7 linked regions of the Cricetulus griseus genome follow. The protein of the gene in region 1 interacts with the protein of each later gene in a pairwise test. Links are inferred from orthologs where the notes say so. Each region holds a gene or a part of one and is shown in the gene's direction. Other genes may lie near its edges.

Evidence for each region.
Region 2: the proteins of Eda (region 1) and Dolk interact in binary tests that used the Homo sapiens proteins (3 or more experiments, as listed by UniProt). The two-hybrid records come from large-scale screens. The link is inferred for Cricetulus griseus from reciprocal best matches to the Homo sapiens genes EDA and DOLK.
Region 3: the proteins of Eda (region 1) and cytochrome b561 interact in binary tests that used the Homo sapiens proteins (3 or more experiments, as listed by UniProt). The two-hybrid records come from large-scale screens. The link is inferred for Cricetulus griseus from reciprocal best matches to the Homo sapiens genes EDA and CYB561.
Region 4: the proteins of Eda (region 1) and Leprotl1 interact in binary tests that used the Homo sapiens proteins (3 or more experiments, as listed by UniProt). The two-hybrid records come from large-scale screens. The link is inferred for Cricetulus griseus from reciprocal best matches to the Homo sapiens genes EDA and LEPROTL1.
Region 5: the proteins of Eda (region 1) and Mal interact in binary tests that used the Homo sapiens proteins (3 or more experiments, as listed by UniProt). The two-hybrid records come from large-scale screens. The link is inferred for Cricetulus griseus from reciprocal best matches to the Homo sapiens genes EDA and MAL.
Region 6: the proteins of Eda (region 1) and Emp3 interact in binary tests that used the Homo sapiens proteins (3 or more experiments, as listed by UniProt). The two-hybrid records come from large-scale screens. The link is inferred for Cricetulus griseus from reciprocal best matches to the Homo sapiens genes EDA and EMP3.
Region 7: the proteins of Eda (region 1) and Pln interact in binary tests that used the Homo sapiens proteins (3 or more experiments, as listed by UniProt). The link is inferred for Cricetulus griseus from reciprocal best matches to the Homo sapiens genes EDA and PLN.

Annotation. Positions count from the first base shown.
Region 1 is NC_048604.1:70,051,379-70,054,878, reverse strand, and holds part of Eda (ectodysplasin-A), read left to right. Parts: intron 1-3,302; coding exon 3,303-3,408; intron 3,409-3,500. UniProt on the Homo sapiens protein: Cytokine which is involved in epithelial-mesenchymal signaling during morphogenesis of ectodermal organs. Functions as a ligand activating the DEATH-domain containing receptors EDAR and EDA2R. May also play a role in cell adhesion.
Region 2 is NC_048599.1:141,943,835-141,947,959, reverse strand, and holds Dolk (dolichol kinase), read left to right. Parts: upstream 1-1,470; 5' UTR 1,471-1,854; coding exon 1,855-3,465; 3' UTR 3,466-3,625; downstream 3,626-4,125. Other genes in the region: nucleoporin NUP188 homolog, read right to left, coding at 1,432-1,463. UniProt on the Homo sapiens protein: Catalyzes CTP-mediated phosphorylation of dolichol, the terminal step in de novo dolichyl monophosphate (Dol-P) biosynthesis. Dol-P is a lipid carrier essential for the synthesis of N-linked and O-linked oligosaccharides and for GPI anchors.
Region 3 is NC_048600.1:118,875,489-118,879,601, reverse strand, and holds the start of cytochrome b561, read left to right. Parts: upstream 1-1,313; 5' UTR 1,314-1,417; coding exon 1,418-1,616; intron 1,617-2,438; coding exon 2,439-2,537; intron 2,538-2,783; coding exon 2,784-2,887; intron 2,888-3,338; coding exon 3,339-3,496; intron 3,497-3,665; coding exon 3,666-3,858; 3' UTR 3,859-4,113. UniProt on the Homo sapiens protein: Transmembrane reductase that uses ascorbate as an electron donor in the cytoplasm and transfers electrons across membranes to reduce monodehydro-L-ascorbate radical in the lumen of secretory vesicles.
Region 4 is NW_023276807.1:50,693,303-50,697,261, forward strand, and holds the start of Leprotl1 (leptin receptor overlapping transcript-like 1), read left to right. Parts: upstream 1-1,159; 5' UTR 1,160-1,298; coding exon 1,299-1,314; intron 1,315-3,959. UniProt on the Homo sapiens protein: Negatively regulates growth hormone (GH) receptor cell surface expression in liver. May play a role in liver resistance to GH during periods of reduced nutrient availability.
Region 5 is NC_048599.1:50,923,391-50,927,316, forward strand, and holds the start of Mal (myelin and lymphocyte protein), read left to right. Parts: upstream 1-1,126; coding exon 1,127-1,219; intron 1,220-3,926. UniProt on the Homo sapiens protein: May be involved in vesicular trafficking from the Golgi apparatus to the cell membrane. Plays a role in the maintenance of the myelin sheath, and in axon-glia and glia-glia interactions.
Region 6 is NC_048599.1:154,810,750-154,814,767, reverse strand, and holds the start of Emp3 (epithelial membrane protein 3), read left to right. Parts: upstream 1-1,218; 5' UTR 1,219-1,359; intron 1,360-2,212; 5' UTR 2,213-2,250; coding exon 2,251-2,328; intron 2,329-2,521; coding exon 2,522-2,624; intron 2,625-3,077; coding exon 3,078-3,218; intron 3,219-4,018. UniProt on the Homo sapiens protein: Probably involved in cell proliferation and cell-cell interactions.
Region 7 is NC_048595.1:255,659,778-255,661,888, reverse strand, and holds Pln (cardiac phospholamban), read left to right. Parts: upstream 1-1,452; coding exon 1,453-1,611; downstream 1,612-2,111. UniProt on the Homo sapiens protein: Reversibly inhibits the activity of ATP2A2/SERCA2 in cardiac sarcoplasmic reticulum by decreasing the apparent affinity of the ATPase for Ca(2+).

The DNA of each region.
Region 1 (3,500 bases):
CTCCCTCTTGGTGTCCAAAACAATAAAATGATATACTGAGTTTAATTGGAGTTGATTTACTGGACCATGGCAACTTAACAGTGACTACATTACTGAAGAAAAAGACTCTCCCTCTCCAACAGCCATTAGTTCCTCAGGAAGGTGGTTGAACCCTCATAAACCCCTCCCCCATACATAATGGAATATTGAAGGACGCAATCTTGTGTAGGTTACCACAGCTACAATATGTTCTTATATACAATGGCCATGTCATATACAGAGGACAGTATTTCACAACATTCTTCCTCATTTTCTAGCTCTTACACTCATTCTTACCCCTCTTCCAAGATGTTGCCTGAGCCTTGGAGGGAGTGATATAGAGTCTCATTTAGGAGTACACACTAATAGTCACTTTTTTCTGTATTTTAACCAGTTATGAGTCTCTACACTAACTGCTACCTACTGAAACAAAGCTTCTCTGAAGGCTGAGAGCAGTAGTCTCTAGATATAAATCTACATAGTTATAAGGCAATTTGACTGCATGTTCATTTAGCAAAACATCAAAATAGTGGCTTCCCCCTAGGGCCTGTGACTTCCATAACCATGGGCTTTTGACCAGGTTTCCAGTAACTAGGCATGCATTTCCTCCTGTGGAGTCAGCCTCAAATTCAATCGAAAAGCAGTTGGTTGCCCTCAACTATTACACCAGTGGGTGCATCTTGTCTGAATGGTCACTTTTGCTGCATGCAGGGTCCACAGCTGGCAAAGACCATTGATGTTGTCTTTTCTCCCTAAACAGTCTGCATAACACCTTCCAGTACTATGAATGGTAGCCAGCAGGGAGGATTCCTCTGACTCATTTCCAGCTAGATTTTTCTGTGTTCTCTAACCTAAGTGTGTGCTGTGTTTAGTAACAGGGTCTTTATCATCTAATTCTGGTAGGTAACCAAAAGCAATGGCAATAGCCAGTATTGTTTTAGGAGAGTCTGGGGGGCACTCTGAAAAAAAATGGCCATTTCAAGTGGAACAATCTAAATATTTTTGAATGTGCTGTGGTTAATAATATAAGATTACATATATTCATTTATTGTTTAATATTTAATCAATGACTGTATCCTCCTAGATGGCTGTGCGTTAAGGCTACTGGATATAATTGTTTAATATAAACAATAAATCATGGATATTTGAAGAAATTTTGTATAGACTGTTAGGATTTTCTTAGGTCCAGCACATTTTCCCCAATTTTTAATTTGAATTAGAAACAAGATTATTTTACATTTGAATCCCAGTTCCCTCTCCCTCCCCTCCTCCCCTGCCACTCCCCCAATTAAAACCCTATCTATCAAATATCTTTTCTGCTCCCCAGGGAGGGTGAGGCTTTCCATAGGGGGTTTTCAGAGTCTGTCATATCCTTTGGGATAGGGGCTAGGCCCATCCCCATGTGTCTAGGCTGAGGGAGTATTCCTCTATATGGAATGGGCTCCCAAAGTCCACTCCTATGCTAGGGATAAGTACTGATCCACTACAAGGGGCCCCATAGATTTCTGAGGCCTCCTCACTGACACCCACGTTCATGGGGTCTGAATCAGTCCCATGCTGGTTTCCCATCTATCAGTCTGGGGACCAAGAGCTCTCCCATGTTCAGGTCAGCTTTTTCTGTGGGTTTCGCTAGCCTTGTCTTGACCCCTTACCTCATCTCTCCTCATTCTCTGCAACTGGATTCCAGTTCAGTTCAGTGTTTAGCTGTGGGTGTCTGCTTCTACTTCCATCAGCTGCTGGATGAAGGCTATAGGATGGCAAATAAGTTAGTCATCAATCTCATTATCAGGGGAGGGCATTTAAGGTACCCTCTCCCCTGTTGCTTAAATGGTTAGTTGGTGTCATCCTTATAGATCTCCAGACATTTCCCTAGTGCCCGATTTCTCTTTAAACCTATAATGGCTCCCTCTATTATGGTATCTCTTATCTTGCTCTCCTCTGTTCCTCCCCCAACTCAACCTTCCTGCTTCCCCGTGTCCTCCTCACCCCTCCTCTTCTACCCTTCTCATTCTCCTAATTCCCTCTACCCTCGCCCATGCTCCCAATTTTCTCAGGAGATTTTTGTCCCTTTCCCCTTCTCTGGGGCACCATGTATCTCTTTCTTAGAGTCCTCCTTGTTTCCTAGCTTCTCTGGCAGTGTGGATTATAGGGGTCCAGCACATTTTTTTAACTAATAAATGCACCACACATAAAGACTCTTGGATTACTATTTTTCCAGCTGACAGTGGAATGAAAATACGTTCATTTTAAGTTTCAAATAATTAATGTATTTAACATAGCAATATCTAACATTTATTGTGTATGTATTATAGAGATGGGTACTGTGATGATCCTGCACTGCTTTATGAGTAAAGTGATATTATCATCCAAGATTACACAGCCAGCAAGTGATAGAGTTGGGCTTAGAATCACTGGAGTCTAAAACTCTGTCCATTGTTTAACTTATGCACATCTTTTTACCTCAAGTATATACTGAAGTTATGATTACCATTAGTGAAACCAGACCCATTCACATACAAAACATATTATGTCACTCTAAGTGATGATTATTCGACATCAGAGGACCAAATATTAGAAAGAGTACCTTTTAATACAAGGTTTATTTTTCCAGATTCATTATTATATAGAAACTTAGTAATAGAGTGATAACACATTTACTTTTCCTTAAAAATTAGCAAACCGAATAAGAAAAATAATCATTTGTTCTGTTTCACTGAAATTAGTCTTATAGACCACATATTCTGATTGAGTTTGGGAAAGACAGAGAATTAGTATGCACTTTATCATGACTTAACTCCCATAAGAAAGTTGACATACATGGCACCTCAGGATTGGGTGCTCCCCACTCTAGAAACAAATTAAGCACAGAGCATCAGTAGGAAAATGGAAAAATCAGATATATATGATAATAACATCCAAGGGGGTAATAGAAAATCCAAGGCTAGTTCTGGATGTCCATCAGTAATGCATGAGGAAAATTAGAAATTTGTGACAAACCCCAGAAGTTTGTGGACAAATGTAACCTAAGGGATTTCTCAGAGCTATTCAAAGCAGAATAGAGAAACTTCAGAGATTAACCAAAACTCCATGCCTACATGTTTAGAATAGTAATAATTCTTTGATTAAAGTCACTGAAAAGTAGAAGGAAAGATGGACTCAGACTTTAGATATATTGAATTTAAGGTAAAGATGGACCATCTATCAAAAGCCAGCTGGTTGGTTTCTTAAGTTGGATACAGCTGACTGGCATCAACCTTTGACACATCTACTTATTAATTTTACAGATGGCCCTCCTGAATTTCTTCTTTCCTGATGAAAAGGCATATTCTGAAGAGGAAAGTAGGCGTGTTCGTCGCAATAAAAGAAGCAAAAGTGGTGAAGGAGCAGATGGTAAGTCTACTCAAGTGATCCTTTATCACTCTGACTTATGAAATGGTAATAAAAAATACTCTTTATAGTTCATGCATGGTCCAAATCTCACT
Region 2 (4,125 bases), on another chromosome or scaffold:
GTCCTGAGTTCAATTCCCAGCAACCACATGGTGGCTCACAAGCATCTGTAATGAGATCTGGTGCCCTCTTCTAGCGTGCAGGCATACAGAACACGGTATACATAATAAATAATCTTTAAAAAAAATTAAAAACCCTAGAATCAGTCAAAGAACAGCCTCAAGGATGGGTTTGGTAAGTTCCTCAACACGAATGAAAGCCTACTAGCAAGCCAAACTTTTCCTTTCCTTTTGAAAAATTCACTTTTTTTAACGTTTCATACACGTATGTATCCATAACTGTGGATACAAGGACTAGCATGAAACACCAGAGGAAAGAAAACCAAACTCACAAGGATCATACCTTATCCACAGGAAAATCCAAAGGAAGAGGCTGATTTAGAGAAAGACAGGCGATGTGTGAGATATATACATGTCTGTCTGCGTGTTTAATGGTTCAGCAGGGAACAAAACCAAATGAAACTAGCAGAGTCAATTCCAGATGACAAGTATGTTTAGGTTTTAAGAGTGGAAGTCTGGTCTGTAATGTAGAAGATGTAATAAGCACAGAGGTCTGATTATGGCTTTAGTCTGACAAGTCTTCAATCTGAATCCTCACGGGGATTATCACAGAAGAGGGGGACTATCCCTGTATGAACTGGACTTTTGAGCCATGTGTAACAGGAGGCACCTCTCTCTCCTAGTTGTCAGAAATGAATGAGATAATTCCTGCAAGGCACTTTCCCAGGGTCTGGCGCTAGTAAGCGCTCTTTAAAGGCAAGCAAGACTGGTAATTCATGTCCGTACTTTCCGCACTAAGGCAAAGGCAGGAGGATAGGAGTTCAAGGCCAGCCTGTGATACAGGAGCCCTCGCCTCCAAAAAAAAAAAAAAAAAGCACTCCCTAAGTGAGAACCGTGTGTGTGTGTTTTGTAATAATCCATCTTGTGTCTGAAGCCTGGCGCAGCTACCCGAAATCTCTTGGAAGATGAAGGCATGTCTGCTGAATGAATCAATAACTGGAATCAGCCAAAAATAAAAGAAGGCGGGAACTAAGGACGTCCGCGGGAAGAACCCGCGGCGTGGGCAAGGCACGCCCGAGGCGGGGCAGGGCGCGGGGACGATATGGCGAGGTTCGGGGAGGGGGGTGTCTCCCATGCGACCCCGAAATGTTCTGCAGTGCCTACAGGGAGCGTGCTGGAGGAAGCGTGAGTGCGGCGTGGGTCGACAGAGGGCACAGGGACCACGGAAAGGGAAGGGAGAGCGGCCGGCCCGCTCAAGAAGTGTCCTCAGCGCCGCGAGCGGGGACGGTTTGGACCTAACCGCCTCCGCTGCGAGTGTCCGCCCACCCAGCCTGGCCTCTTCTCCACCACTGCCGCCGAATCCCGTTCCCAACTCCCTCCCCGCTCCCACCCGGCGCCTCACAGCCTCCCCCGCCGCCGCGCCCTCCTCCGCACCTCACACACGGCCCACCGGCGGCAGCCGCCATCTTCGCGCGCGCGTCCCAGCCCCGCCCCCATACACCGGGCCCACGTGACCGAGCCCCTGCGATAGGGGCGGGACTTTCCGTCACGTGATGGTGGGGCGGGCCCAGAATGGGGCTGTCAAGATGGCGCTGCCCAGGGCTGAGAGCCGTCCGCGGTAGAGGCGGTGGAGCCCGTGAGAGGTGAAGAGTGCAAAACATCCGCTACACCGTAGGTCGCAAGCGGTGGAGGGTGACGGGGCGCAGGCTCCCAGGCCTCAGAGTGGCCCGAGTGGAGCACACTTTTGGAAGTTGGAGAAGGTTGCTGGCTGGGTGAAGCTGTTGCCCTCTGCTTGGCTGGTTGAGGCCAAAGCATCCCTTGTCACCAAGCTTCCCCAGGAACCCAAGGCCTAGAGACATGACCCGACAGTGCCCTCCCCCAGTCGCGGAGTCTGGGTTCCCGCTGAGTGGCTCGGTGCTGGCGGAGGCTGCAGTGGTGTTCGCAGTGGTGTTGAGCATCCACGCTGCGGTGTGGGACCGATACTCGTGGTGCGCTGTGGCCCTCGCAGTGCAGGCGTTCTACGTTCAGTACAAGTGGGACCGGCTGCTCCAGCAAGGCAATGCCGTTTTCCAGTTCCGAATGTCCGCGAACAGTGGCTTACTGCCAGCCTCCATGGTCATGCCTTTGCTTGGGCTGGTCATGAAGGAACGCTGCCAGACTGCGGGTAACCCGTACTTCGAGCGCTTTGGCGTTGTGGTTGCAGCCACCGGCATGGCAGTGGCTCTCTTCTCCTCGGTGTTGGCATTGGGCATCACTCGCCCGGTGCCCACCAATACTTGCGCCATCTCGGGTTTGGCCGGAGGCATTATCATTTATATTATGAAGCACTCCCTCAGTGTGGGCGAGGTGATCGAGGTCCTGGAAGTCCTGCTGGTATTTGTTTATCTCAACATGATCCTGCTGTACCTGCTGCCCCGATGCTTCACTCCTGGGGAGGCACTGCTGGTATTAGGTGGCATTAGCTTCGTCCTCAACCAGCTCATCAAGCGCTCTCTGACTGAAAGCCAAGGGGACCCAGTGGACTTCTTCCTGTTGGTGGTGGTGGTAGGGATGGTGCTCATGGGTGTCTTCTTCAGCACCCTCTTTGTCTTCATGGACTCGGGCACATGGGCCTCTTCCATCTTCTTCCACCTCATGACCTGTGTGCTAGGCCTTGGTGTGGTTCTGCCCTGGCTGCACTGGCTCATTCGTAGGAACCCCCTGCTCTGGCTTCTTCAGTTCCTCTTCTACACAGAAACTCGAATTTACCTCCTAGCCTATTGGTCTTTGCTGGCCACCATGGCCTGCCTGGTGGTGCTGTACCAGAATGCCAAGCGGTCATCTTCTGAGTCCAAGAAACACAAGGCTCCTGCCATTACGAGAAAGTATTTCCACTTCATTGTGGTAGCCACTTACATCCCAGGTATCATCTTTGACCGGCCACTACTATATGTGGCTGCCACGGTATGCCTGGCCGTCTTCATCTTCCTGGAATATGTGCGCTATTTCCGAATCAAGCCCTTGGGTCACACTCTTCGGAGCCTTCTGTCTCTCTTCCTGGATGAACGAGACAGTGGACCCCTTATCCTAACACACATCTACCTGCTTCTGGGCATGTCTCTTCCCATTTGGCTGATTCCCAGGCCCTGTACACAGAAGGACAGCCTGGGAGGAGCAAGAGCTCTGGTCCCCTATGCTGGGGTCCTGGCGGTGGGTGTGGGTGATACTGTTGCCTCCATATTTGGCAGCACCATGGGGGAGATCCGCTGGCCTGGAACTAAGAAAACATTCGAGGGGACTATGACATCTATATTTGCACAGATCATCTCTGTAGCTCTGATCTTAATCTTTGACAGTGGAGTAGACCTGAACTACAGTTATGCTTGGATTTTGGGATCTATCAGCACTGTGTCGCTCCTGGAAGCATACACTACTCAAATAGACAATCTCCTTTTGCCTCTCTACCTACTGATATTGCTGATGGCCTAGTAGTAGTAGTAGTAGTAGCAGTTGTGATGGTGGAAACAGAAATAGGGAGAAAGAATAAATGGTTCCCACAGCAGCTACTTGGACACCAAGAACTGAGGAGTGAAAAGTAGATTTGGTTTTTTTCAATTGATTCAGACTTAAAATAAACAAGTAAAGCTCTCTTGGTTTTATTTTTTACTGATAATAAGAATACAAAAAGGCTTAAAGGCATACACCAATTCAGGGAAGTTGTATATGCTGCAGAGCCCCTATCTTGTAGCCTGGGTAGGGCATGGTTAGAGTGGACCTTGTAGGCAGCAGAACAGAAAGCCTAATGCTTAGGTGTCTGGTGACAAACAAATCTGATCAAAATCCTTGGCTTTACAGCTTAACCGTATGGCAGCCTTGGGTGAGTCTACGCCTCAATTCTTCTATCTGTATGATGGGAAGAATGACGGCCTGACGCTCACTGGATCCTAGAAGGCTTTATTAAGAAGTATGTGGCCGGGCGTTGGTGGCCGCACTCCTTTAATCCCAGCACTCGGGAGGCAGAGGCAGGCGGATCTTTGTGAGTTCAAGGCCAGCCTGGTCTCCAGAGCGAGTGCCAGGATAGGCTCCAAAGCTACACAGAGAAACCTTGTCTCAAAAAACCAAAAAAAAAAAAAGAAGAAGAAGAAGAAG
Region 3 (4,113 bases), on another chromosome or scaffold:
ATGGAGTTGTTGAATCAATGAGGCAGAAGTATGTTCATCTACATGAACAAGGGTGTGTGTGTGTGTGTGTGTGTGTGTGCGCGTGTGTGTGCGCGCGCGCTATGCCATTACATTAAGATGGGTTAGAAGATGTCCTGGGCCTGTTTCTATGAAAAATGTATGTGAAAAATGCACGCGGGGATGGGGTGACTTGCTTTTGTCTGTTCACAGAGTGTATTATTAACTGCCTTGTTCTTCTTTTCAAAAGGAGGAGTTGCTGTTGGAGAACTGGGAGCCGGAGCTGACCAACTGGAGCCCCAGGCCCCAGCCTAGCCAGAGTGGGAGAGTGGGGAAGCGGCTGCCACACACCTTCTGGTACCTACTGCTGCTGGGAGAGGTGGCTGGCTGGGAGGCAAGCCCCGTTTGTCTAGGGAGGGGACAATAAGCTGGAGCTCTGATGTCCCAGTGCTGGTGGCATCGGTGGTAGTCGGGTCCAGCCAGAGTAAGAACTTCGTGATCAGTCCCAGCCACTGAGGCAAAGGCAACAGAGGCCAGAGCCAGCCTGCTCCCCTCCACCCCTGTTACCTTGTGGGGACAGGAGAACATGCAGGGAAAGGGTTGAGAGTTGGCCTGCGGTGGTCCTGCCTGGGAGGTTGCACGCACCAGAGCCTCTCAAGGGTCTCCTGGTGCCGGCGGTGCCTCCTTAAATAGCAGCATACCTGCTCTCATCTGTCTCCCTGCTCTGATCAGCAGGTAGATGGGAACACGAGTTCTGCATGTGAGGATACATTGCTAAGGCCCCTAGTTCTGGAAACCTCACCCGAGGGAGGACAGCACCCCCTACCACCCTTGATGTGGGAAGGAGCTGGAGGGACAGACTGGGGGCTCCCTGGCTGGCCTGTGGTCTGGCACAGCAGGGGCAGAACACAGCTACATAGAACAGGGGATATCCATGCTGGCTCTTAGGATCAGGGGTTGAGGCTTACAGATGGGTGAAGGAGCAAGGCTTCCACTTCCCACTGGGGAAGGTCTTTCGCATCCATCTGGAGAAGGCAGTGGCAAGCCCTGCACCCTCAGGGGATATACACATTCTGATGTAGCCATCAGCCTCACCCCAGAAAACCCAGGGCCTCAGGAAACAGGGATTATAACCCAGGGATTGGGTCCATGCATCACCAGAGCTTTTTAAACTTGTGCCCTGTCTTGCACACAGAACCCAGGTCAGGTTTGTGGAAAGGCCTGGTTTTCTGCTGAGGTGTTCCTGGGATTTGGGGACTCTGCCCCAGGATGGTGGGAGGGGTCTAAGGTGGGAGAACGAGTGTGCCCAGCTTAGACACTGGGGCGGAGGAGGTGGCAGCTGCCACGAGGCAGGCTGGACCTTTTGAGGGTTGTGGGTGGTTCCCTAGAGCTTTGTCTCTCCTGCAGCTGAGCTCTCAGCATGGAGCACAGTGCTGCCTCCAGCCCTGCTACACTGCCGTACTACGTGGCCTTGTCCCAGCTGCTGGGCCTCACAGTGGTGGCTGTGACTGGTGCGTGGCTGGGTCTGTACCGAGGTGGCATCGCCTGGGAAAGCTCCCTGCAGTTTAATGTGCACCCGCTCTGCATGGTCATAGGCATGATCTTCCTGCAAGGGGATGGTGAGTCCCGTGGACGGTCCCGTGGGCGGTCCCGTGGGGAGTCCTTTGGGTGGTCCAGGGAGCCTGTGGTTGGAGGGTGATAGCTGGCCTCAGCAGGTGGCATCAGGGGCACACGTGCATGTGTGCATTGTTGAAGGGGACATGGCTGAGCTAGAATGCCTGGCCCTGGGATAAGAGCCAGCAGGTGCTTGTCCTGAACGCAGCCTACAAGGAGCTGGATGGCGGGGTCGGTGGGGGGTGGGACAGGACAGGACAGCCACCTCCCAGCAGCAGGTCCTAGTGGTCCTGCCCTCCCCCTCATAGCAGTGAGGATTGGACAGGATCTCATTAAGCCTTGAAGCTGGGAGTCTGCCTGCTAAGAGCACTGATTGTCTATCTAGGAAGGCTCCAGAACTGCACTCTCTGCTAATAGGTACACTGAGTCTGGCCAGCACTGCAGTTTGACTGTGGGACAAACCCTGAACACCCGAGTCAATGCATTATAGGACACCTGGCAAGGCCAAGTGTCTCCCTGCCTAGCAGTTGCTCTGAGTGGGTACTCAGGGCAGGGTGCTGTCTTTGTTGCCTCTGATGGTGGCAGGAAAATGTGGCACAGCCTCCTCTCCGGGTCCTTGAGTGTGCATGGGGTAGAAAGACTCAGGGACACCCTTGACCAAAAGCAGGATGGGTGCAAGGTCCCTATGCAGTTCTGTTTTCTCCACCAGTTCTATGACTAGCGAACCTTGACAAGCTCTTAGCACAGACCTTTGTCCAGCCAGCCAGGCATCCTTGTGTGTCCAGCACAGGCCTACCCACTTAAAGCTTTATCTTTCATCCCACAAGCTCTGCTGGTGTACCGTGTCTTCAGAAAAGAGGCCAAACGCACGACCAAGGTCCTGCACGGGCTGCTTCATGTTGTTGCCTTCATCATCGCCTTGGTGGGTGAGTTCCTGGGCACAGCCTTTGTCTCCATCTGCTGCTTCAGGATATACAGTCCCTACTTCAGGCTTCTTGGCCCTCCCCCACGCTCCTCCTTACAAGCATCCCAGGCAGGGACACTGGATGCTGGCCATCATCAGGCTGGACCAAAGCCCAGAAGTTCTGGCTAGCAGTTTCCCCCGGGGTCTCCTCTCCTCTCCCTTCTCCATGTCCAGCCCTGTCCTCATATGGCCCCTGCCTCTGCTGCAGGCTTGGTGGCTGTGTTCGACTATCACAAGAAGAAGGGCTATGCTGACCTGTACAGCTTGCACAGCTGGTGTGGAATCTTAGTCTTTGTTCTTTACTTTGTGCAGGTGAGTCTTAGCTCCAGCAAGGGATGGGGAAGGAGGAAGAGGCGGGTAGTGGGGCTCAGGTATGCCATAAAAGGGGCCCATTTTCCAGGGTGCACGTTCAGAGGAGAGAGCGTAGGTTAATTTAGTTGGATGCTGTTTTCAGAGACTGAACTGGGTATCAGCCTAGGATTCTAGAGGCCAGGGTGCCCCAGACCCCTTTGCCTTTTCCACTGACTCTGTCCAAGTGTTGAGTCACGTGCCTTGGCTTCCTGAGTCCACAGGGTGGTGAAACTGTGGTTGGAGGTCCAAAGCCTCGACGCAATGCTTCAAGCACTGGGGACCAGGCCACTTTCCCTATAAATACCCCATGCTCCACTGCTGGAATTTGAGGGGATGCAGGAGTGCTTTGGTGGCCTCCTGTTAGTTAGGTCACAGCCAGCTCATGGCTCAGGAGAGTCCTCTCTCCTTTTAGTGGCTCGTGGGTTTCAGCTTCTTCTTGTTCCCTGGAGCTTCGTTCTCTCTGCGGAGCCGTTACCGCCCCCAGCACATCTTTTCTGGTGCCACCATCTTCCTCCTTTCTGTGGGCACAGCCCTCCTGGGCCTGAAGGAGGCACTACTGTTCAAGCTTGGGTGAGTGGCCCGAAGAGGCAGTCCCCAAGTGCCCTTTGCCTCACTGGAAGCCTCTCTCTGAGCTGGCTTTTCTCATGGGGAAGGTGGAAGGGCTGGAGTCTTTAAGGCCTGGGCTGCATCTGTCCTAACTGGGACCCTTGGTGGCTTCTCCCTTCACCCTACCCTACAGGACCAAGTACAGCACGTTTGAACCTGAGGGGGTCCTGGCCAACGTCCTGGGCCTGCTGCTGATCTGTTTTGGGGTGGTTGTACTCTACATCTTGGCTCAAGCTGACTGGAAGCGGCCTTCCCAGGCTGAAGAGCAAGCCCTCTCCATGGATTTCAAGACACTGACAGAGGGAGACAGTCCCAGTCCCCAGTGACAGCCTTGGGTGGTCCTCCTGGTTCTGTGGGTTCCTGGATGTCTTTCTGCTCCTCCCTGCAGAGCCTGAGTCTTTAGGTCCAGGAGTGCGGGGCAGCGGTGTTACTTTAGTGGGGTTCTAGGTTTTGGGGTTGTCCTCTGCTTTCCCTTCCTCGCTCGCAGTTTTTGATGCATTCTGTGGCCCATGTGTAGGCCCTGCCTGTACCCTGCTATCCATTCACATGCAGAAAACTTGGTCAGGGGACCTGGGGTCAAG
Region 4 (3,959 bases), on another chromosome or scaffold:
CCAACCTCTAGTGTCCATTAAGAGAAGGCTGCAGACCAAACCAAAGGATTACCCTTTCCTATTTCCTAAATATTCCTAGGATCAAGGTTTCCTCTGCCTTCTTAATTAGTTTCAAGGCTGAGACTGGCATAGCAGCCCTAAGGCAGATCTAAAGGGGACACTGTATTTCACTGGCCTAGAAGGCTCCAAAGAAGGGAAAACCCAATCGCTAGATCTGGGAGCCAAAGGGCATTTTAACGAAGGGCAATACACAGTGGGGAAGTGACTAGATGAAAGAAGTGTGGGCTTTCGGAGGGAAACTAATAAAGGCTATTTTTGTAACATTTCTGCAGACTCCAATCGGTGCTGCTTATAGAGACAGCTGCCTCTTCTCAGAAGTGAAAATATTTACAAATGGGAAAAATTGTGTTGCAAATATCTTTTTATGTCACACGGGGAAGTTCCTGTTACCTTTACAAGGAGAATCTTATGCTCTTATTTTGTACAGAAAAGAGCGCGGACAATTCATCCATGTTTTGTTTTTGGTTTGTTTTTTATATTTTGGAGTGGAGATTCTTCTTACTAGCGATTATCTTCGTTGCAATTTTATTCTTTTTTTTTTTTTTTTTTTTTTTGAGTACTCTCCCTTTTTAGTCCACAAACAACCCGACAGCAGAAACTACACCTGCTTTTGCTCATCCCAAAGCCTACTCCGGTTCCCCAGCATATATGTGGGAAACTTGCAAATATATAGCGGATTTCTGCGGGGCCCCATCCCTTTTGTCACCAAGGAGAGAGCGATCCTCACAGACTCCCAAGAAGATAATGCAACTCTACTATCCATGACTCGGCCCGCTGCACCCAAATAGGGAGGGGGGAAGGTCTCATCAGAGCCCCGATCTGTGTAGGAACCCAAGGAGAGATGCAGAGACCACCCATCTCCCGAGTCACAGACTGGCTGGTGGAGGGAGGAAGGCGCTCGCGGTGCAGAACCTGAAGTGCTCCGGCAAAGACATCGGCCGCGTCTTCACGAGCTCCCCACGCGCCCTTCCCAAGACCGCGGGGACTTCGGGCGGGAGCCATCCTCCCGGGTCGGATGGGAACCACAGACCAGCCCAGGACGTCGCAGCCGGCACCCGCAGCTCCGGAGGAAGGCGGGCCCCGGACCGGCCCCGCGCGCCCCCCACGCCCCCGCGCGAGCGCGAGCCGCCGGCGGAAGTGCTGCGTCGTGCACTTCCGGGTGTTGTCTGGCCGCCGTCGCGCGTCTTGGGTCTCCCGGCCACCGCCCGGGTCGTGGAGGCAGGAGCGACGTCACCGCCATGGCGGGCATCAAAGGTGGGCCTGGGGCGCGGGCCGCGGGGACGGGGACCGCGGGGATAAGGAGGGACGGCGTGGGGTCGACCCAGCCTCGGCTCCTCAAGCCGTCGCGCTCCGCCCCTGGACCAGAGCCGGGCAGCCGGGCCACTGAAGCGTTGTGAGCGAGTTTGCACCCAGAGACATTGAGGGCTGCCATCCGGAGGGATGCCCGTCCCCGCACATCAGTCAGTGTAGTTTCCCACCCGAGGCACGAGCGCAGTCCTCTCCCAAGCCTGGGCTCTGCATCCACTCTCGGGATCCCGGTGCACCATCTTTCCCTTGCCTCTAAATCGGATGCATCGGATTTTCGGGGTTTGTACAGTGCAGCAAAGCCCGGATGCTAACCCAAAGTGCTCCCGCTTCCTTTCCACCCACAGTTGCAGGTTGACACTTTTTTAAGTTGTGATTTTTTTTTTTTTTTTTAAGATAAGGTAACTAACACCTTGATAAAAGATTGCTTGTTTGTTGCATTCTTTGGAGAGACGGAATGTTGCTCGGTAGTTTTGCCCCTGGGGTAAGAAGGAAAGTTTTCGGTTTACTTATCAGCGGATCACTTTGGTTTCTTGACCTGCTTTGTAGAAGAGACAGCCAAGCAGGAAGTAAACAGTTGGATAGTTATGCCTCCCACCTCGCTGGAAAGGGCGACTTTGGTTGAGCTTTTTTCCAGGGTCACATTCTTTTCCGGCGTCTTGTTTATTCTCGGTGCCTGAAAAACGTTTCGTTTCCCATATAGAACCCTGTCATCTGAGTTACTAGGATACTTTCAGATCTCTTTTTGAACAATAATAGACCCTTTCAAATCCTAATGTGAACGGAAGTTACTGTGAAATGCTGCAGTTTTTAGGATGTTGCCTGTGCCTCTTCCTCATTTCTTCAATGTCATTAATGGGGGAGTCTTAACAAGAAAATAGATTTATGATTCTTCAAATGTGGGTAATGTTAATCTAGTGACAATGACTCCAACGGAATTTTACTTACTTCTTAAAGATTTCAGTGGGTTTTAAAGTTATGATTGTTCATCGAGATATTTCTTCCTGTTGATTTATATATTGCCTTTATATCAAGAAGTGTAGCTGTAGAAACCATTACATATTTCTTAATCGGATTGCCTGTTACTTTGTGGTAAATTATACTTTCTGCTAACTCCCAGACTGAGAAACTTGACCCCGTCACCTATGTCTTTGCAGTCACAGAGCCATCATCATCTTGTCTCTATAGAGAATTTTTGCTAGGTAATTGGGCTGTTCCATCCCTGGCCTGGAGGCTTTGGGAGTAGAAACCACACTCCTGTTTCATCTTTCAAATGTTGCATCACTCAATTACTGTGTGAATTCTTACCGTACTGGTGCGTCACTTAAGACGCCATTTATATAAAATAAGCCACCTAGTTGCCAATGTCATAAGTCTGAGGAAACATGACTGGTTTGGGGAGCACTCTTATCATCTTTTATCTGTAATGACTTAAGAGATGAGGTGTCGAGGACTGGAGAAATGGCTCAGAGGTTAAGAGCACTGGCAGCTCTTCCAGGGGTCCTGAGTTCAATTCCCAGCAACCACATGGTGGCTCACAGCCATCTATATAGTGAGATCTGGTTCCCTCTTCTGGCATGTAGGCATACATATAGACAGAACATTATATACATAATAAATAAATCTTTTTAAAAAAAGAGAGATGAGGTGTCACATGCAGTTGCCTTTGAGCATCTTCTAAATATTGAGTATATTTGAATGCATAGAAATATGACCCTAGGGTATCTCGATTCCCCCAAACAGTTCCATGGGGCTTGATTTTTCATATGTGAGTGTTCAAAAGGAATTGGATCTTGTATAAATAAATGTATCAGTAATTTTATGGGCTGGAGAGATGGCTCAGTGGTTAAGAGTGCTTACTGCTCTAACAGAAGAGCCAGTTCAGATCCCAGCACCCCCCACACACACACATACCCAATAGCTCACAAAAACCTGTAACTCCAGCTCAGTAGGCACCTCACTGACACACATATAAATACACACACCCATACTAAAATATTTTTAAATTATTTATTTTAATTTAGTTTAAAATATTTTCAATTAATTTTTATAGTATCCGTAGTAGAAGCTTGTGTTTTAAATGTGTTTCAGTGCTGGAACCTTATTTTTGGGTTTCTTGATTTTTTTTTTTAAATCTTTAAAGTTAACATTTGTTATTTGAAGGTTTTTGTTGTCGTTTTGGTTTTGTTTTGTTTTGTTTTGAGACATTATGTAGTCCAGGCTGACCTGGAACCCACAGTCAACACCTCAGCCTTCTTACTAGGGTCACGGGCATGTGCCACCACACTTGTTACACATGCAGGGGATCCAGGTTGGGTTCCCAGCGTCCTCATGACTGCTAATAACTGTAACTTCAACTGCAGGCATCCAACACTCTCTTCTGGTCTCTTCCTGCACCAAACACACACACACACACACACACACACACACACACATGTATACTTGAACTTTTGTTTGTTTATTTTGCTTTGGTTTTTCAAGACAGGGTTTCTCTGTGTAGCCCTGGCTGTCTTGGAACTAGCTGTATAGATGAGACTGGCCTTGAACTCAAAGATCTACCTGCCTCTGCCTCCAAGTGCTGAAATTAAAGGTGT
Region 5 (3,926 bases), on another chromosome or scaffold:
CTTCCCATAAGCAGTTGCTCTGATCAGCTGATGGCCATGGAGTCTTGCTTTAGAAAAATACCTCGAGAAATGTATTTCTTGTAGGAAGCGGAAAGGAAAAAGAGCTGTGTGTAGGAGAATGGGAGGGACCACACACATACACCGGGTCGCGGCGTGGGGGGTGGGGGGAGACCCAGCACTGAAGCGGCACCTCGGGATGAAGCTGGGGTGGGGAGGGTTCAAGTTCAGAATCTGAGCTGGAGACTGAGAAAGGCCAATATATAAAGAGGAGGCAAATATTAGTGTGATACAAATAGCAGTTAAGGAGGTACAATACTTGTTTAAAAATAAAGGCAAAAATAAAACGTAAAATTGTGGTATGAGAGGAGGAAATCCCTACAAAGAACTAAGCAGTCAAAAGGGTCATAGGACAAAGAATGGGGAGGACTGCCCCAACCCTGGAATTGCAGGTGTCTCCCCTGGCAATGCCTGTCTCCCATGGATGCAATGCAACTTATCCCATCACCACCACCTGCAGGCAGGCCCCCAGGCTCCTCCCCCTAAGACCTACCTCCTTCCCTCCTGTCAAGCAGCTCCCCCGCCAAGTCTCATAGCTGCCCCTATAACCCATCCTGCAGCTGAGATCAAAACTGGGAACGTGTCCTCCAAAAGCCGGTTTTCACACATTAACGTCCCCAGGGAAGACTGGAGATCCAACAAGGGTTAAAGGGATGGGGTGCCTAAGGATGGAGGTTTCGGATACGTTACTGATGGATAGTGAACACCTTCCTGGAGTGTTTCACAGCGAAGTGTTGCCCCAAAAACTCTCCACCGCTCCCCTCAGGCAGATGGCACCCAAAGGTGCCACAGGTGAGTCCAGATACCCACTCCCCCAGCCCTGCAGATCCTCAAGAGCACTCCGTTGGGTTTCAGGGCGGTGCCCCAGACGGTTCAGCCTTGTCTCTGGGGCAGTGGACCCGGGCGGGGCAGGTGGCCGGAGCTCCGCCCTCCTCTGGAGCAGGCTCTTCAGTTCTTAACCCGCGCGCGAGCGCCCTGCGGCCACTGGGCTCTGCGGAGCGAGCGAGCGGTCAGCGCAGAGCCGGAGGTGCGCGTGTCCCGTCCCAAGGCCGACGCCAAGCTCGCAGGCATGGCCCCGGCAGCGGCTTCGGGTGGCAGCACCCTGCCCAGTGGCTTCTCGGTCTTCGTCACCTTTCCTGACTTGCTCTTCATCTTTGAGTTTGTGAGTGGTTGCGCGCCCTGCGCTGGGAAAGGGACAGGGTGGGTTATGCTGCTCGCTTCCTTGAGGGCTCTTCACCGCTGTCCCCGACCTTACCAGCAGTACGTAGGGGACCAAATCCGGAAAGTCTCCTCATCTCTCGGTAGTTGGTTCCTTTCTAAAATAGCGGATCCATCTCCTAGGCAGGTGCAAAGAAACTTCTTGTAGCTTCTTGTAGCTCTGCTCCTATGGAGCCCAGCTTCCTTACAAGGGTCCCCGCTTTTCCCACTCACATTCCCTCTAAGTAGACAAAGCCAGCCAAAGACCCCTTTATGTGACCGACGGAGACTTGGGACCAAAAGAAGGCAGGCTCTTTTGGCCTTTTGAAGTTTTTTGAAAAGAGTTTGTCTCTGTGGCAAACTTGACCGGGGAGAGAAAAAAATAGTGGTTGGCGTTTGCTCGTTTGCTCGGCTGCAGTCCTTGTGCCTGTGTGAGGGGAGGGAGGAGAGAGGTGAATTCTGTCGCCTCCCTTGGCTGACCTTGAGCTGACTCTGCACCTGGGCTGGGTTCTCTTAGTCTTACACTCTAGAACCGCCCCAGTAGCTTGGAGAAAATTTCCTATTGTGGGCTCCTGGTAAAGTGTTGTGAGATTTCAAGACCTCATTTGGTTTCAAATCCCCAGGGACCTTCAGCGCTTGCTTGGGCAGGAGGGTGTTTGTTTATTCTGTGGTGTGGAAACAACATCTCCTGTGCTCCCACCACACAGAATCCTTTGTGTAGAACATAGGCTTGGAAAAGAAAATGTAGAGGGTGATTTTGACAATGGGATCCTGGCTTCTAACAGCATGGATAGGAAGGGAAGATGTGGACACCAAAGACAGTAGGCTCACTCATACAGGGATGCCACTGAAATTGAGATGAGGGTTGTGTTGAACCCAAACCTGGGTGTTTTTGAAGTGACTTCACACCCCGGGCATAACCAAGGCCAAGGCTATGGAAGTAGAAACTCTGCACATTACCAAGCCAAATTTCACAACTTACAAATCAGAGCACCTAGGCCCAAAGCTGGGTCAGGCTTGCCCAAGGTCATCCAGGTCTTTAGCAAGCCTTCCAACCTCCTTGGGTTCCTTTTGTATTCAGGGTTGCTGAGCAAGTCTTGGAACAATGCCAACTGAATGTAATTGACACAGGCACTTGGTCATATGGGAGAGCACCCCCTGTGTGCTCTGGGGGCACTAGTCTTTATAATCTCTTAGCCTATGTTTGCCCAGTGTTGGGACCTGGGAATAATTAATGGGTGATTCCTCAGGATTTTAAAAAGTAGACCCTACAGAGGTCTGACCAAAAGAGATCATGTCTCAGCCTGAGGGGTGATGGGGCAAGGGGGTTTTTAAACAAAAATATGTTAGTCTAGAGTAACTTCTGTTGACTGAAGAAGAGCATACAAAGAATCATTAGAGAAGATGGTAGTTGGGCTTTATGGGTCTTTGCAAAGATTCTGGCTGTAGCCTCAACACACACACACACACACACACACACACACACACACACACACACACGGGGCTGGGTGGGGAGACTCTGGTGGTGGTGGAGGGTCTGCAACCTCCAAGAGCACACCCCCTCTTTTTAACTACTCAGTATGACAGAAAGACTGGTTCTGAGAATAGGAACAGACCAGCCAGGCAAGACAACCAAACCTACAGAAGACTTGTGGGTGTGGAAAATCTCAGCACTACTTGTTTAGTGAAAATGCACCCTCACTAGTGTGCCCTCCATTCCTCCATGTGGTAGTGGGGATTTCTAGTGCTCTCTCTTGACCAGAACTCATCCTGTTCACTGTTTTAGAAAGTGTGTCTCTTCTATCTCAACCATTGTACTATGTCTGCCCACCCTCCCCCACCTGTCACCTTCTCTAGAAAACTTTGGAGTCTTGCTTGCCATCCTTTAATCTTTCTTCCTCTCTAGGTTAGGGCTGGGTTTACAGGATGCCTTTGGAGAGAAGGAAGAAAACAGACACAGTCCCTCCAGTGTTTCCCAGCATAGGCTGTATGTGAAGCAATGTGTATCTTGCCAGAAAGCTGGAAAATTAAAAGACTGGGAGAGGCACTGACCACGCCACGGGTGTTTTCTTAAACTGTAGAATATTATAAGTCAACACCCAAAGCATGATTATAAAATGGGCAATGGCTCAGACAGACATTTCTCCAAGGCAGAAACACAATTGGGTAATGAACTCATAAGACGATGCTCAGCTGAGTTAGTCACCAAGGAAAGGAAATCAGAACCACATAGAGGTGTCACCTCCCACCCATTAGATTGACTGTTAGTTTAAAAACAGGTCCAGCGGCAAAGACTACAATAAAACTTTGAAATAACGCCCCCTCCCTCCATGGAACATAATAATCCAGAATATGGAAAACCTGTGGCTCTGCATATTGCTGTTAGGAATGTTTTACATACGTTTAGATAATGTGGAGAGTAGTTTGGTGGCTCCTTCAACAGCTACCTTATGGCCCAGCAATTTCACACCCAGGAATACGACCATAGAATCATAGCAGCGACTCAAATAGAGTGTGTACACACAGGCCCAGAGCAGTGCTCTTCAAGGTAACCAACAGGTGAAAACAGCAGAAATATCCACCTGACAGGTGGACCTGGCAAACACAATGTCCTCTTTCCCTACAATGGAATACTGTCTGGACATAGGAAGTACTGATGAACGCTGTCCAAG
Region 6 (4,018 bases), on another chromosome or scaffold:
ATTACTAGAGCCTCTGAACCAGAGTTCCCCTGACTCCACTTGAAACCCCAATGCCTGCTGTAAGTTGCACAAAACTGCCAAGCACTGCTCCAGAGCTATGTTACCCAGTACTCTACCCCTCTTTTACAGATGAGGAAGCATGGACAGGTCGTCAATAATTTGCCTGGGGCCACACAGCCAGCAAGTGGCTCCAGTCTAGCCAGCTCTCACCCCCAGCTCTGGCCCCATCAGATGGCCACACATCCCATCACCCAGGTCCCCAGCCCTTACTTCATCAGAACCAGAACTCGGTCCCCTGATAAGGAATGCAGATATACTCAGTCATCACACACAGCCTGAAATCAGTGTCCTGAGAATAAACAATGACAGCTCACATTACCTTGCTGTGAGAATTCTAATGGGCTGCCACAACACTTCCAGTAAAATCCAGGTTCCTCCGTGAATGTTGAAGGGAATTCTCTGATGTCCCTGGTCACCACACCCTAGGCTCCCTGTGCTCCAGCCACACTGGCCCTTCTGTATGCTCTCCAAACAACAGGAGCTTGTTCTCAGGGCCTGAGAATTTTTCTTTTCTCCCCAATGTCCAAATGACTGCTTTCCTTGAATTTCAGGTCATATATGTCCTCCAAGAGGCCTTCCAGGGTTATACTGTTTTACTTAGCCCCCCACCCATCCACCCACCCAGTCATTATTTCCATCACTCTATTTTCTTTACTGGCTGTATATTGTAACCACTATACAGATTAGCAAACTGAGGCCCAGGGAAGTGAAATAACCTACTCAAAGTCACAAAACTGGAAAATGGTGGCACTGGCATTCTTAAAGTCTACATCCTGCTCCTTTCCATGGATCCATACTTTTTGTCCCACCTCAGAGTCAGCCCAAAGTTTGATCTATGCCACAAGAGTCTAGCCTTCTGCAGACTCCTGTGTCATCCACTCTGCCCCAAACCCCGTCAAAGACAGCAGACATGCGGTCCAAGGAGGTAATGTGCCCCACCTGAAGGCCCCAAAGACTTCTCATCTGAGCCCTGAAAAGAGGTCCCAGAACATGTCCACTGTACCACTGGTGGGCAGAGAATAAGGAACCAAGTTCTTGTGCCCTCCCCTGCCTGCAGAGCTCAGCTGGGCGAGGCCAAAGTGGATATAAAGGGGTTGGTATATATTGAGAGCTAAGAGAAGCAGAAACCACCAGAGGAGAAAGACGGAGGGAGGGAGAGAGAGAGAAGGGTGGTAGTAAGGGTTGGGAGGAAGGCGGTGAGGGAGGCGGGGGCCTCAGAGTGGAAGGAGGGAGCAGAAGGGCGGGGCAAGAGGCCCAAACGAGGACAGACTCCAACTCTGACTTCTTCAGCGACTCTCGGTAAGTTTTCAATCCGTTATTCAGACGGGACTTTATATACTTATATACTGGGCATCACAGCACTGTGGGAGGGGCGCCCTAGGCAGGAAGAAACCCTCCACCCTGCTCCCGAGGACACTAGTAATTGAAGAAGGGGGTCTCTCAGCCTTTATAGTGGGGACACAGGAAGGAGTAGGGCCATCTATAGGATGTGTGGTCCCAAGAGAGCACACCATAGGAAACATCTTGTAGCTTCTCCATGGGGTCTTCCATTCTCTCTTGAGATTAAGGGGTGCAGGAGGGCTCCCAGGCTGAGTTCTCTGGACACTGAGGGTGGTAGGAAGTGTTCTCACCACTCAGACATCCGCCTTCTAATCCATCTCCCCAAGTATCCAGAGCCTTAGGTCTGCAGTAGGGTGGGGTGAGGGCCACAGAGACTCAGCCGGGGGCTGGAGTTTCCCTGGTGCTGAAGGGAGGGGGATGAGTCACCCATGACTCACCCCAGGAGAAGAGAGTGAGTCAAGGATGTGTGTCCTCTGGGCAGCTCCTGCTCTTGATGGATTAGAAAGGGGTGTCAATTTAAACTTTCATATGGTGACCCATATAGCCTGGGGAGAAAGCACTGAAGATGCACCAACATATAGTCAGTCCTGTTCATCCATCTCCTAAAGTCCACGTAGGGCTTTCTCTAGGCCGCTCCAGGAGCACAGGAGCCCAGGAGCCCTGGGCTCACCCTCCTACTCCCTGGGGAGGACTGCTCAGCCTACTCTCCTTCTCTCTCACACCCAAGAGCCTTCCCAAGCCCTCCTCCCTCAGACTTAAAAAGCCAGACCCTAGCCCTCCTGCCCAGATTGAGTGCTTCTACCCTTTGCAGGTCTGTCTCTCCTGCTCTGAGCCAGGCATCTGGCAGCCATGTCACTCCTCCTGTTAGTGGTCTCTGCCCTTCACATCCTCATCCTCATCTTGCTTTTTGTGGCCACTTTGGACAAGGTAAGCTTCCAACTCACTGTGAAACCTAGCTACAGCCCATTTCTTAAGCCTCTACCTCCCTACTTCTAAAGCAACGCTTCTCTCTAGCCTTGCCCACCCTTTTAGCCCCTCGGTGCACATCTAGGTGCCTCATCCCCACTCTCCCTGACATTGTCCTTCTCTCCTCACTCTCCCTGATCTCTGTCCCTCCCAGTCCTGGTGGACTCTCCCCGAGAAGGAGTCCCTAAACCTGTGGTATGACTGCACATGGAACACCACTGCCAAAACGTGGGCCTGCAGTAACGTCAGTGAGAATGGTGAGCATATAGCTGAGGGCAACAGAAGGGCCCCAAATAGGCCGGGACCAGGGTTGGGACCGGAGCCTAGGCTGTGAGCATCTGGGGCTGGCAGAGGCAGCCTGTCTGGATGGAAAGGCCACTGCCTCTGTTCCAATGGATCCAGAAAGGGTGGAGGTCACATGCTGCAGGTTTAAGGAATGGGGAGAAAGCTCCCTAAATTCTGAGACGATAGGCTTTCCAGAGTTGTAAGGAAATAGAGCTAGTGTTGAGAATATGGAGCCATTCATTGAAGCTGAGGAGAGAAGGAAAGGGCCAGAGTTCTAAGTGACAGCAAGTGAGGGTGGGGATGTAGCTATCAGTGTTTGCATGGTATGTGACCCTAGTTACAGATGCACCCATGAAGCTTGCCTGGCTGAACCAGCAAGTGGAGACGGGGTTGTGGGCTGTAACCTCACCTGTCTTCCCCTACAGGCTGGCTGAAGGCAGTGCAGGTGCTCATGGTGCTCTCTCTCATCCTCTGCTGCCTGTCCTTCATCCTCTTCATGTTCCAGCTCTACACCATGCGGAGAGGAGGGCTCTTCTACGCCACCGGCCTCTGCCAGCTTTGCACCAGTAAGCACTTCCCCAAGATCAAGGGAATGGGGTATACCATGCAAGGCCCTCCCCCAAGGACAGCCTCTGAACCCCAGAGCTAGTGGAGTTGCAGTTCTCAGAGGCTCTGGTAGTCTTGGTACTTTAGTGAGCTAGTGTTTCAGAAGTAGGTTTTGGTAAACAATTTGAGTTCCAGAGATTCAGGCAGCTAAGAAATACCATAAAAGGAATATTCTGAATCATATCATCCAACTGCTGTTTCTTGTCCACCTGTTCAGGGAGTTTACTTTTTCTCATCACTCGGTATTGTGGATGTAACACAGGGCCTCTGGCATGCTGGACAAGCTATCTCTGAGGTACATGCCCAGCTCTATACTGGTGGATTATGGGCATATGGTCTCAGCCCTCTTTTTAATTTGGAAAAAGGGTCTCACTAAGTCATCTCCACTGGCCTTGAGCTCCCTATGCTCTTGCCTCCACCTCCTGAGTAGCTGAGAGTGTAGGCATGGGCTACCAAGTCATGTTCCACTTTTTTTTAAGATCAAATAATCTGAGGCTTGAAGGGTTTGGGGGATGAAGAGGTCAATGAACACAGGGCTCTATTTTTTCTTTAGTTTTTCTTTGGCTCTCAGTGCAAAGGGCTGAGTTAATCATGGTGGTTTTGGAAACATCTTCCTGGGTTCCCAGAGAAACCCCCTCATGTTACTCACTCATGTTTGCATGTTTGGCTCATGAAAAACTAAAAAAAGAGCCAGGCAGTGGTGGCAAACACCTTTAATCCCAGCACTTGGGAGGCAGAGAGAGGCAGATCTCTGTGACTT
Region 7 (2,111 bases), on another chromosome or scaffold:
CTCTCCCCTCTCCCCTCCAGAGTCGCAGTCAACTGAGGACCTCTAGTGCTGTCTAGTGTGTACTTCTCCAGAGCTTTAAAAAAGAGCTGAGTAGGTAAGCAGGGGTATATTTGCTAAGTGTTTTTCAATTTTTCTTAATACTTCCCTAACACTCTCTCCCTTCAATCTCTTTCTGAAGCCTCAATATAAGGTTAAAAACACTTTCATGGTGGCACACAGCTTGAGAACAGATTTGGATATAAATTGACCCTGTGTGGCTCTTTATCATAGCATACACATGAAGGACAGAAACACACACCAAATGAAAATCCAATTCACTACTACAATTCAATAGAGCCATGCTGAAGATCTGAGAACTATGCCATCTTTATAAAATAAACACCAAGTTCTAGCTGGTTCTGCTTGATGCAAATCTCCCCCTTTCTCAGTCTCCTTTCTCCTCTCCTCAGCACTTGTCTCAGATGTGGGGACAGCAGACTGAGGTGAGTTCCCAAGAATGCAGAGCCAAGGGAGCAAATCCAACTGCCAGCGAGAGTCTATAATAATATCCTGCTGACAGTGATGCATCAACAAATTAGACACAGTGGTCTCTAGACAGTAAATCATTGCATTTTGTTTCTGTTTATTCTTCCTGTTTTAAAACTGACACAAAAATGTTCTGACAAAAAACAAAACATTAGCCCAGCATAGTAGTATAGGACAGTAATCCCTTTACTTAGTATGCAAAGGCAGAAAGGTGGCGGCCTCCAGTTTGAGGCCAGACTGATTACTGCCTTCGGACAGTACACTTAGTTTATTAATAAGCTTTATTGTTTATTAATTATCAACTCTTTAGACCCTACATATTCAGCAATGGTTTAGGAACTTTGAAAGAAGGCCAGACACAAACCAGGTAAGCAAGATTAGCTGAAAATCGGAACTGTCCATGGTAGTTTTGTACAATAATTATTACAGTGCCTTCCAAGCTTAGCAGTCTTTAGTATTCATTATCATGTACAGTATTTAAAATAGTAGGGGGCATCAAAGGTATAAATCATAAAGAAGAAGGCAAACAGCTAGAATTTGTTTTTTTTATTTCATGTTTAACCAAGCTTTTAATTTACTATATGCATCTCTTTGTCCTGAAACACTTATGTTTACATCAGAGAGATAGCATTCCATAAACCAAGTAATACCTGCCAAAAACCACAGTTCCTACAGCTCAAACAGGACAAATGGGACTGTGAAGTAACATACGAGATATAGAAGCAGAGACCATGGAGCCCAGGGACAGTTGATGTCATAAAACACAGAGACCCAGAGAATGGGTATGGGTATAGGTATTAACCTGGTCCATTTACTGTTTTTACATTCCAGGCCTCCTAACAGAAGACAGCTGCTTACACTTGCCTGCTTACAAGCAGCTCTTTCTTTCTCTTGACCACTCAAAACTTCAGGCTTCCTGATTGCATCATGGAAAAAGTCCAATACCTCACTCGCTCTGCTATCAGGAGAGCCTCAACTATTGAAATGCCTCAGCAAGCACGCCAAAATCTCCAGAATCTATTTATCAATTTCTGTCTCATCTTGATATGTCTCCTGCTGATCTGTATCATCGTAATGCTTCTATGAAGTGCTGCCACCACCTCCAGGATCTGTAACATGCCAGTTCAACTTCAAACCAGCACTCCCTCAAGAGGAGAAACAATACAGCCTACTCCCTGTCTAGAATGTCTTTCTAAAGGTCAAGATTAAGAGGGAAGCAAATTGTTAGCCAATGTATTCACCTACTGGATCTTGTAAACAAACTTTACAATGACTAAGTGTGCATAATGTAGCTGCCAATTTCCTCAAAATGGCCCATAAATATCTTTCCTAATTATTTCTGACCATGAAGTATGAATTTTAATTTTGAAAAAGCACTACAAAAATGTTCACTTTCTACACCCTACTGCTAAGAAGTTCACCATTTTTTTTTTTACAGGAACTAAGTATTTCTCAAGTCTCCACAAAACTGATCATCTAAATGAAGTGTTCTTATTCAAAATAGCTCACTGGGTCCTCACGTGTATGGCTACTATTATTATTACCACATTAGTTATGCTGTCAGAATAAATACCTTGAAATAAAGA